3 linked regions of the Daphnia pulex genome follow. The protein of the gene in region 1 binds, or shares a complex with, the protein of each later gene. Links are inferred from orthologs where the notes say so. Each region holds a gene or a part of one and is shown in the gene's direction. Other genes may lie near its edges. The genes, in order: integrator complex subunit 2-like, integrator complex subunit 9-like and integrator complex subunit 12-like.

Region 1 (4,879 bases):
TACTACCAACGGCGACATCAAGCCGAAACCCGCTGCTACGTCAACGACTCGCACTACGGCCAAGCCCATCGTTAATGGCACAGCTACGAAATCCGCTACTCCCAGACCCACCGCAGCCAGCACCAAACTCGCAGCCACTAAACCCGCAACAACCACCGCCACCCCTACTCGCCCGGCGCCATTGAAGAGTAAGGTTTCATTGTTTTTGCGGTTGTTGTTGTTGTTGTTCAGAGCGTGTTGGAAAAGAAGGGCGTTTTGATTGACTTTTAACATCTACCTTTTATCTCTCTCCTAAATTACATTTTCTTATTTTTTTATTTCTTCCCAGGTGTTGCAAGCAGAACGGCCACGCCTGGTAAGCCGATCGCAAAGACGACGACATCAACTTCCAAGCTTGGTGCAACCAAAACTGGTGCGGCAACCAAATCGCCGGGAGCAGCCAAATCAGCATCCAGCGCTTCGGCTGCTCCCGAAGTAACCACAGCAACACCCGAAGTCGCTCTTGCTCCTGCACCGGCCGACGCGGAATAATGTAGAGCAGGTTAAAAAGCATCAGAATTAAGCGTGTTTTAAATGTGAAAGGTTCGAGATAACCAAGGAGATTTAAAAAAATAGAGAGGGAAAAAGGAAATAACGAGTGGAAAACGCCCAACCATATTATAATAACTCCCTACCGCCGCCTGCTATGTATACCGCCCGTCTCTCTTTCATTCGCTCATGATTCATCGTCTGCCAGCTTTTTAAACGTTCTCGTTTTTTCTTTTAAATGTTTTTTTTTCCTCCATCGTTTGCAATTTTCTAAAAGACAATAAAGGTAAAAAAAAAATAATAATTAAAGATTTCAAAATAGTTGAATCCGAGCCGAAAGAGAGAAGAAACGAACAATTTAAGTACTAGGGAAATAAAGAAATGGAGAATGGCTACGTGAAAACTTTGTTGCGATTGCGGGCCCCTGTAAAGATATCAAGGAAGAGATTCAAGAATCATCAATCATTTTTCCCCCCTGCGTGTGAGTGAGCGTGTGTGAAAGCGTGTGCGTGAGTTAATGTACTGCTATCCCCCCTCCCCCCACATTTCTTTCTTGGCAACACACAACATCAACAATATGTAAAAGGATTGTGAAAACCTCTTTTACTTCCCCCTAATGGCTAAATATTACTTTCGCACGCCCTGCACTCCCACCCACCAACGCTCTTTCGGCTAATAATCACCTATTTTATTATTAACTGTATTCGTGTCAAAAGTCATGAAAGAAAATGTCGTCCCTTCGTTTTTTTTCCCCCTCTTGCTCGATTCCATAATTTCTTTTTGTTTTCTCTTTTGTGTTTGTGGGGTTTCATGATTTTCAATTTCAAATTTGCCGCGCACAGCAACGGTTTGCCTTTGCTTTTATTTTTCTCTCCCCCCCCCCCCTATTTTCTGTTGTTGATAGTCACGCCAATGTCCAGCCGAGGTGATTGTGTCCACTGCTGCTTCTTCCTACTCTCTTCTCTACTTCTTACAACCACATGGTAATTAATTTAAAATATTGATTGCGCTGATTTTTTTTTTAATTGGATGAGTTTCGTTTTTATACGTTCAAAGATTGTGTTTCCTTTCCGTCTTCAACTTTTGGATGCAATACCCTCCACATTTTGTAATCCATTACGTGAGAAGTGCGAGTTACAACATTGTAGCGCAAATAAATGAAAAGCAATGGGGAGAAACGTCTTTTTAAATCATTATAAGTTTATAACTTGCTATTATCATGTCCGTTGAGTGCAACATTAGTGCCCCTTGTAGCTTTGATCATCTTGTCATCTGCTCAGTCGGATGACGTGAGTCGTGAGCTATCCGAGCAATCCGGATTCGCCCTAATAAGGCGCCGTGTAAACTGTAGTTCCTACGTTTTGCCGCTAGAGGATCAGAATCAGTTTCGTCTGCTCGTTGCCTTGACAACACAATGGTTCACATGAAAATCAAGCTTGCTATGTAAACCACTCCATGGCGATTTGTTGATTGATTGTGGTCTTAAAAACACAATATTTTGCCAATAAAATGCCGATGCCACCGATTCGTTCCGTTTCGAAACGAAATGTTTCGCCTCGTGTGTTTCAAGCTCTACAGAATTTGGATGTAGATAACTTAGCGGAATGTAACGAAGAAGAAATTCGAGCTGTTATGCCATGTTTGGCTAGAATGAGTTTGATAGGCCCACTGGACCAATCTAGTGAATGCACCAAATCTCGAAGAATGGTCTTCCAAATATTATCCGGTCGTGAAATTGTCAATTCCATAGTTGGGTTACTTTCAATTGATTTCCATGCTCTTGAGGTTGACGTCAAGAAAGAACAAATGCTACGGTATTTTCTTTACTATTGTTATGACTACTTCTTTTATTTTTAATCAAAATTTGTATTGCAGTCAAAAGCTTGGTAATCAAACTGAAGACTCTGTCTTGATTCAGTCACTATCAAACAGTTATGCACTGGAATTTGAAAGGAGTGATCCAACGAGGAAATTAAGGCTGTTTCTCAGTGAGCTCCTCACACTCATGGCACAAGTAGATTCCTCATAAAGCATTCATTTTCCACAATATTATTGTTTCTTATTTTAATTTCTAGAGCAAAGAAATCAGACCAGAAACCACATACAAAAGCAGTGAACTGTTGGACCAGGAAATCTATTTTGATGAAGTAGCTGATGTGCTGTGTGTTGCTTTAGCAGAGCTGACAATTCTGCTACCTATAACAGAAGTTGCAGAAGCTCTCTTGAGAACACTTCACGGTCCATCTTTCATATGTCGAATAGTGGCTAATATGCCTGATACTTTCAATGAAGGTAATATTTTTCCAAAGTGTGGTTTGAACTATATTTTAGAAGTAGTTTGTTTCAAGTTTGCCAGAGTTTGATTAGCAATGGTGAAAGATATGAAGAAGAATCCTTCCTTGGACGGGCCAGATTAGAAACACTTAGATCCCTCTGCAGGATGTGCCCAAATCAGATTTTGATGATCCAACTTAAATGTGTAAGTTTTTTTATCTCTGACAAAGCTTTGTTCTCTTTAGTTTAAGGTTTTTTTCCCTATCAGGTGGAGATGTGCAGAATGCCGGCTCTGGCTGTTTTACTTAGTTTGGACTATGCATCCTGCCATAAAATGATCAAAACAGATAAAATTGAAACCCAGTTGGGAGATGTCGTACCGTTTATCTCTGGTCTACTTTTGGGTGGAGATGCAAATATCCGCACCTGGTTTTCTCTTTTCATTAGGAATGGACAAAAGGTTTAGCTTTCTTTAAATGTACTTTATGTTAGCCGTCAACGTATTTAACTCTATTTCCTTATTTTACAGCGACATGATCGTGCCACTGCGTTACATACTTTACGCCAAGAGCTACTGAGAAGTTTGCAGTCGTTTGTTCAAATGGCTGCTGATGAGCCGTTACCTGACCGTTGTGCTGTTGATGCGTCGGCCCTTTTACGACTGTATTGTGCTTTAAAAGTAATTCTATTCATTCCAATAATAGTATGTTAGATAGGGGTGTTGGAATTGAAAAACTAACCCTTTATTTCAATATTTGTAGGGTATAGCAGGAATGAAGTTGTACGACGAAGAAGGTGGGCTTTTATTGCAATTAATTACCTGTCGTCCACCGCCAACCGAAGCTGGCCTTCGTTTCGTTGCCCTGGGACTCTGCATGCTGATGGCTTGTCCATCTCTCATCGCCTTGCCCGACCAAGAACAAAGCGGTTTTCGATGGGTATAATCGCAAGTTATTCGTAATTAATATCAGTTGTTATATTTTGTGATTTTAGGTGAAATGGTTGGTGAGGGAAGAAAGCTACTTTGAAAAATCGCCAGCGACTTCCTCTGGCAAGTGCATGGAAACAGCGAGGAGCAGTTTTGGAGAGATGTTATTACTAATGGCTATCCACTTTCACAGTGGACAGTTGAGCGCAGTTTGCGACCTGGTCTGCTCAACGCTTGGCATGAGGCTTTTACTCCGGCCCGCTTCTACTGCTCGTATGAAGGTGGCATTTACTCAAGACATATTCCCAGAGCAGGTTTGAGCTTTGTTAACAAGTTTATTTGGTCAAAATCTTATCCTTTTAAATTCGAATGTTAGGTGGTGACATCTCACGCTGTCCGAGTGCCCGTCACTCCCGGTTTGAATGCAGACGTTGCAGGATTCCTTCCAGTTCACTGCATCTATCAGTTGTTGAAAAGCCGAGCTTTTAGTAAGCATCGCGTGCCGATCAAGACCTGGGTTTACCGCCAGCTTTGCGAGAGCCGTCCTCCATTGCATCCACTTCTTCCTAGTTTGGTCGAAGTTTATGTTAGCTCGATCCTGACGTTATCTCCATCGAAAAACCAACAGAATCAATCGGGCGTAGCTGGTTCCATTGACATTGGCCATGACCCAATCAGCGAAGAGGAAATTCGAGTTGTGTTCGCCAACAGTTTTTCCAGGAACGTTCGCCGAGCTAGCACAGACGGGCAGGAGCATTCCGTCACGGCCCAGCTTTTACTTTTATATTACGCTCTACTGTATGAGGATACTCGTCTGACTCAAGTCAAAAACTACTTGGTGGCTGGTATCAATATCAAATCCTATTCTCAGTCGTTCTTCGCCGATTTGCCTATTCGATATTTGATCAGTCAAGCGGAAAAAGAACAACACCTTTATGCGGGTAACATTTAAAAGCAAGATTGGCCATTTTCTCCAATCCGCATGTTAATCCTTTGTTATTTATCAAATATCGATAGGACTCTTTTCACCATTATTACGGCTTTTAGCCACTCATTTTCCACAGCTGTGTTTGGTGGAAGATTGGATGTATGAAGTCAACGATAGCCAATTGTCTTCTTTATGCAGCCCACATGGATCTGTTCCAACTT
Region 2 (4,879 bases), about 2.7 Mb from region 1:
TTAAAGAAACCGGACGCGTCATTTTGTTTTCTAGATTTACTCTGGCCAAACTCGTTTGAATATCCGTAGGCTTTTTTATTTTTATTTGACGTTTACATTTTTGAAAAAAAGAAGTGGAGCAATTTTCTCCCACGTCCTTCAAATGATTCAATTGCATCCCCACCCCCTTGCTCCGTCCATTTAATCTAATCTATACGCCACACACGCTCAGACAGAGGCAGACATGCCCAATGTTGTTGCCTAGACACTCCCGAGCGCCAGCTGCATTATCGCTTATAACCTTTTGAACCGGCTGTAAAATAAATTCTTAACACACAGCGAGAGGGGGGGGGGAAGAAAAATTATATATATTTTGAATAGAAAAAAAAAGACTTTGAACTCTCTCTCTCCCCTCCCTTCTATCCGTTGATGGTTAAAACGGTCAGACGAGGTCACACACAACAAACACGTCGTAAGCAAGCTGCTGCTGCTTCCTCTTCTTTCTCTCTTCGAGTGTTGAGAGACACATCTCACATTGCTCCGGCTTCAATTTCTTGTAAGAGCCTTTAGCAGCAGCAGCTATCGTGTGTTGGAACACACATTTTTCTTCTTCTCTCGATAGATCACTCAACCGACCCAGCAGAGTATCGACATTTTTTTCTCTTTTTTCATTTCTGGTGAATAAGGGGGGAGGCCCCTGAGCTCTTTTGATTTCCCAACTACACTACTGTACTACTACTACCACCTACCCCATGGTATATATCAAACACACACACAAAAGCTTCTCTTTTTCATTCTTTTCTTTCCTTTTTGATATGGGAAAAGGGCCAGCAGCCGGGCAGATGTTTCCCATTTTGTAAAAGACCGTTCACTCTCTCCTTTTTGCTCACGTATATATATATATATACAGAGGAAAAATGCTCTCCCCTCTTTGGGTATAGTCGTTGGTCGTCTCCGACACCCATTTGTGATGTGTGTGTTGTGTTCCCCCCCATCGTATTTCATTTCCCTTTCTCTCCCCCTTAGTAACCGTGTCTGCTCTTATTTCTCTCTTCTCACACAGACACACAGCAGACTCCCGACCAAACACAGAGGCCAAGCCGATCATCGACCATGTTGTTTTCTTCATTTTCTTGCTTGGGTCTTGCTTATTGGATTCTTTTTATTGTGTGTGTGTTTTTTTTCTTCTGTTGTTGCAGGGGCATCAAATATATATAGGAGGCATTTCGACACCGGAAGCTGAAGGAGCATCACGTATCATCTCTCGCTGTGGAGAAAATGGTTCAATGACTTGGCCTTATCATTCACCAGTCCGGTTAGATTTTTTGGAAAGTTCCTTTTTCTTGGTTGCACCAAGATTTAGTTGAACACCCTACTGGACGGAGAACTGATAAGGGCGTGTCTTGCAACACAATCGACGAAATGGACGAATTTTTTTTTTTTGACAACCAACAAAACTGTATAGAGTGATATAATATTCTTTCGTTCTTAATCATTGACAAAATGTGTGTAACTTTGTAGCTTCTTTTGTTTCGCTTGTTTGTTGCGTATCCGATGGCGTTATTCAATACACATTCTCAAAAGCGAATATGTGATTCAGATTTCAATTTTTATTCTAGATTTATTTCTTTCGCGTTCCGGCGCTCTTATTTAAAAAAATAAAATAATAAAATAAAATGAACCTATCTTTTCAAGTTGAAAAATGACAACGCTGCATTGGGTTTTCAAATGTTAGTCTGCTAGCAGCTCGTGTAGTAAGTACGAACCGGACAAACAAACAAGTCTGGATCTGTCTGTCATATACCGAGTTTGAAATAAAAATTCTTTCTTGTCACTTTTCAGATAAAACGCGCCCACAACATGAAAATCGTAAGCATTTTAATATTTTCCTTTCACCGAAATGGAGCGGTCTGATAAACACAGTTTCTGTTTACATAGTACAGTCTGGGCGCCAACCCAAATAAACCCTGCAACATCTTGAATTTCAAAGGCGTTTCGCTGATGCTCGATTGTGGGCTGGATATCAACTCGGCCCTTCATTTTCTACCTCTGCCTCTCGTTGCCAGCAAAAGGCTCTCAAATTTACCAAACTGGATCCCGAGAGACACACAGGATGCTGCACTTCTTGATGGAGTGAGTTAGATTTGATCTCTTCTCTATCTTCGTGTCATTTCAAATGTTCATTTATCCTGTATAGGAACTGAAAGAATGTGAAAATCGAGTGTTGGTGGATGGCCCAATAGAGATACTGCCCCCTCAGTCAGACATTTTTGACATCTCTGATGTGGATACCATCTTGCTATCGAATCATGCCTGCATGCTGGCCCTGCCATTCATCACTGAAGAAACTGGCTTTAAAGGGAGGGTATATGCAACTGAACCCACCTTGCAGATTGGAAGGTATGCAACCTGCAATTGTTGTCACACAATATTGAGACTATATTGTATTCTTTGTCGTAGGCTCTACATGGAAGAACTGGTCAACTACTTGGAAAGGACTCCCAAAAATCAGCGAGCAAACAGATGGAAGCAAGTACTCCAGTCTCTTCCTCCTCCTCTCAGTGGGGCTCTGAGACCAAATGATTGGAAGAAAGTCTATTCCACAAAAGCCATCAATGCAGCCCTGGCAAAAGTTCGCATGGTTGGCTTCAACGAAAAAATTGTACGTCCTTTTTCGGATTTTTAAAAAATTCTTATGAAACAATATTAACCGACAACTTTTAGGATATCTGTGGTGCTTTAACTGTGATGGCCGTCAGTTCTGGATATTCCCTTGGTAGTTGCAATTGGATCATTCATTCCGGCTATGAGAAGATTGCGTACGTGAGCGCTTCATCTACTCTCACGACCCACCCAAGGTTCTATAAGCTTAATTAGTGTTACTTTTTTAACAAATTAATTTTATACCATTTTTTCCATATACAGGCCGATGGATCAAGTTGCCCTTAGAAATGCCGATCTCTTGATCTTGACAGCGTTGACTCAGACCCCCGTGGCCAATCCAGATTCAATGTTGGGCGAATTCTGCATGGCAGTTGGTAATTCAAATAGTAAAATTCTATTAAATTACATTAGAAAAAAACTAACAATGTTTCCTTAAACCTTTTGCAGCATCCACGTTACGATCGGGCGGATCTTGCCTAGTCCCATGTCACCCTTCCGGCCTTCTTTACGATCTGTTCGAATGTCTCTCAGTTCATTTAGACAATATTGGTCTTAGTCAGATTCCGCTGTTTTTCTTCTCTCCCGTGGCCGAAACTTCCTTGGCTTATTCCAACATCTTCGCTGAATGGTTCGGCTTGTCACATTTATTATTTTTCCGAAAATGTTTAGTCAACTTATCATCCTCATTTCATATAGGTTATCTTCAGGCAAGCAGAGCAAAGTTTATCTCCCAGAAGAACCATTTCCTCACGCCCATCTCATCAAAAATGGTCGACTGAAACACTTCCCAAGCCTGCATGCCGAAGGATTCACCAACGAGTACAGACAGCCATGTGTCGTATTTTGCGGTCATCCTTCCCTTCGTTTTGGCAATGTAGTTCACTTCATAGAGTTATGGGGCAGTCATAGCAACCACAGTATCGTCTTCGTTGAACCCGATTTCCCTTACCTGGAAGCGCTGGCCCCCTATCAACCACTGACCATGAAAATCGTTCACTGTCCCATTGACACGAGTTTGAGCTTCACTCAAGCCAATAAACTGATACGCGATCTCAAGCCAGGAAACTTACTCGTTCCAGACGTTTACCTCCACCCGCCAGTGTCGGCTCCCTTAAGATCAGACTTGGTTATTCAGGGTAAGTCTTCGATCGATTCCTGTTGAACTGGATCTAGTTGGCCAGTCAGTTAACCTTATTCTTTCTTTTTTTTTAGAATTGGATCCACCAGCATTGGGTATGAAGTCCTACCAGGTGTTACAGTTACCAATTAAGAGGAAGCAGGAAAAAGTGCATCTTGATCCGGCCCTGGCCTCTCGTCTCGAACCCATCCAATTTAAAACGGGCCTTTCAGCTTCTACTCTGACTGGAAAATTGGATGCTCGTGACAATAAATTTACTCTGAAAGTGAGTCCTTTGTTCTCCTAACTTGTGACAGTGTCTCATAGCTTTTTACTATTTTCAAATCTAGGTATTAAACGAAGAGGAAGGAGGCACATTGTACAGTGCGTCGGAGAGAATGCTGCCTCGCCATCCTTGGGGCTCTGTTGACACAACTCAACTGTTGCATTTGCTCAGTCAACATGGTTTGCTAGATGCTCGGGTCGAAGACACTCCTCGAGGCGTCGTCATTCACTTGGTACTACCCCGTATATCATTTTGTCATTTCAAGAGTCGTAATAACTTGTCTTTCCAATTTTGTCTTTTAGCCAAGAGAGGACACTGTGATTCAACTGGAAGGTTCCAACACTCATGTTTACTGCCATGATGAAGCGCTACGGAGAACTTTGAGGGATATTTTGCTACAATGTCTACCTTGTTTGTGAACATCACCATAAATACATTCGAATTTTTCTCTTATAAACCCAAGCATAAAAATAAATAGCAGGATAAATAATTGTAGAAAGTGACGGTCGTGAAAGATGTATCGACGGTTTACCCGTGTGAACAAAGAAATTCTGACGAAAGAACTGGGTTAAATTTGGAGTGCATTGAGCTTAACGACGTCCCTAGAATTTTAATTTAAAAATACTAAAATTTGTAAAGGAATCACGCGGAATTCTATTCGGGAAATGACGTCTATAGATTATAATTTTTCTTTTTTAAAAATATTCCAAAGTTATCACGTTGTGAAATGGCAATGCTGCATTTTATATCGTCTGTTGCATTGTAATTTCTGTGAATTTCATTTGCATATCATTCAGTTTACTAGACTAACCCATATTACTAGGGACGACAGT
Region 3 (4,390 bases), on another chromosome or scaffold:
AAGAGGCGTCGATACAAAATGAGAAGAGACACACACACGAGACCTTTATTTTCTTCGTGCGAATGAGTCGTCGTCGTCGTTGTTGTTGTAGACAACTCTCAGGAAGGGTGGAGAAGGAGGAAGACCCAATCAACTCTCTGCTGCTGCTGCCGTACATACCGCTGCCGGGCGGGCCGAGTCGAGCGCATCCGGCCATATCTAAATGGCTCTCTCTCTCTCTTTCTCTCTCTCGCGTTTTTTCCCTCTTCTTCTCTCACCACTGTGTTCCCCCCTTCCAAACAACATACACGCACTCACTTCCTATACCACACCATCACATCCTCTCCCAGACTTCATCATTTTTTGGGGCTTTTTTCTTTCTCGGGAATGCGTCGCCATTTTCACTCGTATTAAAACCAACACATATGTGATCATCCGAGATTCCAGCTGCGTCATCTACCACCGGCGCCTGTTTCTACCACCACCCCTTTGCCCCATACAACATCTAAATATTTATCACGACGCCCACCCCTCGGAAAATCCATGGCCTATCTTAGATGACTCTCCGGATATACGGGAGAGAGGGGACCGACCAGCAGGATGTAGAGAAAAAGGCAGTAGAGGAGTTAATCTTCATGATCATCATCTGTCAGGAATCAGTCATTTAATTGAGAGAGAGAATAAGGACATTGGCAATATGAGAGACTTTCTAAATCGAGGATGCAGGATGCATCACTGATTCTCTCATTTCTAAACAATCTTCCTTTTTTTTCTTTACCGTCTGGCTGGGGGGTTTTACTTGAAACCTAAATTTAGAAGCTAGAAGTTATCTGGTGGTTGCAGCCAACACAAACAAACAGCAATTTCCTGAGAAATTCACACCAACTTCTGGCTGATGAAGGAATGAAACAAATGACCTGTTAGAGATTAAAAAGGAATTTAAATGATTTACCTGTTCCTGTCGGCTGGCTCAAATGTAGACATGGCAGCAAGCGAAATGGGGTGGAAGCTTGCACAATCCAAGAATTTGTTCGTCAATTAGAAAATCCCCTCACACCCTTTTGTGAGGTGACTAAATGTCTTTTATCTCGACTTGAAAACAATCGACAACCGTGTCCAACAGGCCTCACATCCTCACTGAACCTCATACAGCACATATAACATCACTTTGATATGTAATCATCACAGGAGACGTGATATAACTAGTAACCTTTCGATCGTTCAAACGGATTCTATAATCACCAAATCAACTACACATCTCCTTTTCGTTGTGAGGTAATCACAGAGAGAAGAACAACGGCTATCTTGATCCTAAAAATTTGTGTTAAAAAATAACTCGTCGAAAGCTAAAACCAAACCAGCAACAGCGAGTCCGTCTGTGCAGAAGCAGAATATGAATGTCTTTCTGGCTAGACTCACAAATCTATCTAAGCCGTCGTTAGCAAACTACCGCTAGGTGTCATCGCTGAGTCTTATCGCTATTTATAGAATTCTTGATAAAACTCCGAATTTCTTTCTTTTTTAAAAATAAGACATCACATTGCGCGCTAATTAAATTTGGTGTCAAAATTTGCATACTTTTTGTTCATTAATAAAAAGAAAGTGTTGAAAATAAAATTGCACAATTTATTGAATCTGCCACCAGAGGGCCATTTCCTTCTTCACATTTATTTTGAAGTTGATGTTGATTCGGACAGAAGTGCTGTCGTGAATGGTTTGCTTTGAAAATAGCTCCAAGAACTCATTACAAATATTTACTATTATTAATATTTTAAATTCTAAGTTTGATAATGGATGGTCTTATTGAACCATATTTAATTAAAGCTATCAGTCTTTTGCATTCTAGTGCTAAAGATTCTGGTGACCAATTGAAATCTATGTTGGATGAAGCCATAAGATTAAAGAATGAAACCAACTCTTCTGTCAGCAAGTTGCCACCACCTTTGACGATGATCAAAAGGGTAATATATTTTTACTTTTTTTATGCTGTTGTGATTAAATCTCTTGCATTACAGGAAACAAAGAAGAAAAGTGACTTCTTCATTGATGAAGATGTTCCTCTCAGTAAAAGAAGGAAGGAATCTCCTCGATCTTCACAACCTTCATCTCCATCTTCTAGGTATGTATCCACAGTTTTGGATAAACTTTATACTAGTTAACTAAGTCTTGTATTACAGTGTTCTTGAGAAAAACAAGGAATCTAAGCGAAAACATGATAACATGTTCAATGATGATGAAGTTGTTCCAAAGAAATTCAAAGATTCCCCTCGTTCTTCACAGCCTGGCTCACCAGCTGGGAGGTGTTTTCCATTTGATTTCTTATTTATTAATTTTATTTTTAAAATTATATTTTCCTAGTTCACCACGAAATTCGAGATCTCCAAGTGTGGCTCGAAAAAGCGACGACCTCGATTCTTTGAATGACGCCGATGACTTGGCTCAGGAAATTATGGATCTTCACTGTGTTATTTGCACGTAAGTCTTATTGTTTGTTATAGTGATAAAAATATTCAAACTTTTTCCTCTCTCTACGTAACAGTGGCCTGGATGTTACTTCTGGAAATCAGCTCGTAGAGTGCCAAGAATGTCACGGCCTTTATCACCAGGAATGCCACCAACCGAATATTAGCGACGCCGAAGTTAACGATCCTCGATCCGTCTTTTTCTGTTCCGATTGTAGCAAGTCAATGAAAAAGACCGCTAGTCGACCTAAATCAAGTAGCAGTAGGGAAAGTCCCATCACTTTCTATAAAAGTCGATCTGACTCTCCGAGTTCCGTGAGTGGCAAAAGCTCAGCCGGCCTGGTAGTTAACTTCAGCAAACAGCAAACCTTGCCCCAGAAGCCAAATGGCGGCAGCGGTGCTTCAAGTAAGTCAACAAGCTCATCGAGCAGCAGTAGCAATTCTTCATCTGGAAATACTATTGGCAACACATCCCTCATTAACGCCGATAAACGACTGCAGAACATTAAGAAACGGGCTGCCACAAAATTGCAAGAAAAACGGAAACCTGGAAAATAGTCGGTTGTATATTAAACAGGCACCATCTTTCCGTGTTGTTTATTTCGGATTCCATTCTCTTATACAATTTCGCAAAAATTATTTTTTATTTTTGGCTTTTTTTAAGTCGAATCCTTGGATAAATTGCCTGTTAGAAAAAAGATAAAATTTTGTAAAGTTAATATTTATTTCTATTATTTTATTATTTAGTTTTAAAAAAATTACTTGGGAATTCCGTATTCATCGATGAGCAAATTTCCGACAAAACTAATTTGGTTACCCTGTACCAACACCAATTGACCCTTTTTAGCTGGAGAGCTGGTTATTGTTGTGCTAGCCGCCACGCCTACTTGGCACCTATTCAAACAGACAAGAGAAATTCGCTTACTTTTAAGAGACCCCTTCACCTAAAGAATGTGAGACCATTGGTACCTTCGAGCAAATTCGTCCAAGTCGATCCTGTACGTCTCAAGGCCACTGATGAGGGTGACCTTCTTGTTGCCAGCTCTCGATGCCGTGGTAATCTCGACTGGCTCCAACTCTCCTTTCACGATGACGGGAGCCGACTGGTTTGGGAAGATCATTTCATAAACTGTTGAAAGTTTAGCTTGACAGCGGCTCATTAGCTCTTCCCAGCTAAGCGAAGCTGCTACTTCGCCTTTTTTTAACATGACGTCACTCAAAATGGGATCCAACGTCACCTGACTGCACGAGCAATTGTGATAAATTTAGTTTCTACAACATTTTAGAAAGAAAGAAATCTATCTATTTAAACCTAGGATTGGTCGCATTTTGTAGCTGGTTCACTCGGACGTATTCAGTCAAGTATTGGCGGATCTGTTGCGTCGTCAAATTTGTCCCCTTTCTATTAAAAAAAAACCCTCAAATATTAGACACAGGATGTAAGGCATTGGTTAATCAACACTGACCGATAAGTTCCAGCGAAAAGCGGCAAACAAACGGCATTGATAGCGTACATCCGGGTTATGACAGGAGGAAGATATTTGTCGATTTCTCCGACCTTTTCAAGCGCAGGTGCCGGTTCAGGTTTGTCGTTGATATCCACACGGAAACTACGGACCCTTTCGTGGTCGTATCGAATGGCAGAAATGCTCTCGACGCCTTTGGTAAATTCTTTGACATCAATCACTCCTTCCTTCTTTAGAGTATCTAAAAACTTTGAGAGTTTCTTGTACGATGATTTCTTGACGTCCAGAGTCTTCTCCGATGGACACGCCGGCACAATGTGTAACCGGTAAAAATTACTAGTCAGGACTGGAAGTTCAATTTTCTTTGCACTAGTCTTGAGCGCTTTGAAGAAACAATAGTTGAGGAGCTCGTCCATGGTTTCTTGAGGATTTTTTTGCTCAGCTGGAGCCTCGACAGAATCTCCAACATCGGATGACGGTTGT

The links.
Region 2: integrator complex subunit 2-like (region 1) and integrator complex subunit 9-like share a complex: the UniProt entries of both Homo sapiens proteins name them as parts of the integrator complex. The link is inferred for Daphnia pulex from reciprocal best matches to the Homo sapiens genes INTS2 and INTS9.
Region 3: integrator complex subunit 2-like (region 1) and integrator complex subunit 12-like share a complex: the UniProt entries of both Homo sapiens proteins name them as parts of the integrator complex. The link is inferred for Daphnia pulex from reciprocal best matches to the Homo sapiens genes INTS2 and INTS12.

What each region holds. Positions count from the first base shown.
Region 1 is NC_060027.1:806,072-810,950, reverse strand, and holds the start of integrator complex subunit 2-like, read left to right. Parts: upstream 1-1,922; 5' UTR 1,923-2,037; coding exon 2,038-2,342; intron 2,343-2,403; coding exon 2,404-2,542; intron 2,543-2,603; coding exon 2,604-2,820; intron 2,821-2,876; coding exon 2,877-3,007; intron 3,008-3,070; coding exon 3,071-3,262; intron 3,263-3,331; coding exon 3,332-3,481; intron 3,482-3,563; coding exon 3,564-3,740; intron 3,741-3,795; coding exon 3,796-4,044; intron 4,045-4,106; coding exon 4,107-4,671; intron 4,672-4,747; coding exon 4,748-4,879. Other genes in the region: microtubule-associated protein 4-like, read left to right, coding at 1-188, 329-531. UniProt on the Homo sapiens protein: Component of the integrator complex, a multiprotein complex that terminates RNA polymerase II (Pol II) transcription in the promoter-proximal region of genes.
Region 2 is NC_060027.1:3,456,700-3,461,578, reverse strand, and holds integrator complex subunit 9-like, read left to right. Parts: upstream 1-1,701; 5' UTR 1,702-1,839; coding exon 1,840-1,848; intron 1,849-1,917; coding exon 1,918-2,112; intron 2,113-2,176; coding exon 2,177-2,379; intron 2,380-2,439; coding exon 2,440-2,641; exon of another isoform or gene 2,642-2,703; coding exon 2,704-2,837; exon of another isoform or gene 2,838-2,904; coding exon 2,905-3,017; intron 3,018-3,081; exon of another isoform or gene 3,082-3,090; coding exon 3,091-3,271; intron 3,272-3,339; coding exon 3,340-3,779; intron 3,780-3,855; coding exon 3,856-4,046; intron 4,047-4,110; coding exon 4,111-4,278; intron 4,279-4,348; coding exon 4,349-4,465; 3' UTR 4,466-4,503; downstream 4,504-4,879. UniProt on the Homo sapiens protein: Component of the integrator complex, a multiprotein complex that terminates RNA polymerase II (Pol II) transcription in the promoter-proximal region of genes.
Region 3 is NC_060026.1:13,197,861-13,202,250, reverse strand, and holds integrator complex subunit 12-like, read left to right. Parts: upstream 1-1,647; 5' UTR 1,648-1,769; coding exon 1,770-1,940; intron 1,941-1,994; coding exon 1,995-2,098; intron 2,099-2,156; coding exon 2,157-2,279; intron 2,280-2,337; coding exon 2,338-2,454; intron 2,455-2,518; coding exon 2,519-2,999; 3' UTR 3,000-3,077; coding exon of another isoform or gene 3,078-3,126; 3' UTR 3,127-3,160; downstream 3,161-4,390. Other genes in the region: adapter molecule Crk-like, read right to left, coding at 932-963; eukaryotic translation initiation factor 2D-like, read right to left, coding at 3,078-3,126, 3,204-3,335, 3,411-3,683, 3,754-3,843, 3,908-4,390. UniProt on the Homo sapiens protein: Component of the integrator complex, a multiprotein complex that terminates RNA polymerase II (Pol II) transcription in the promoter-proximal region of genes.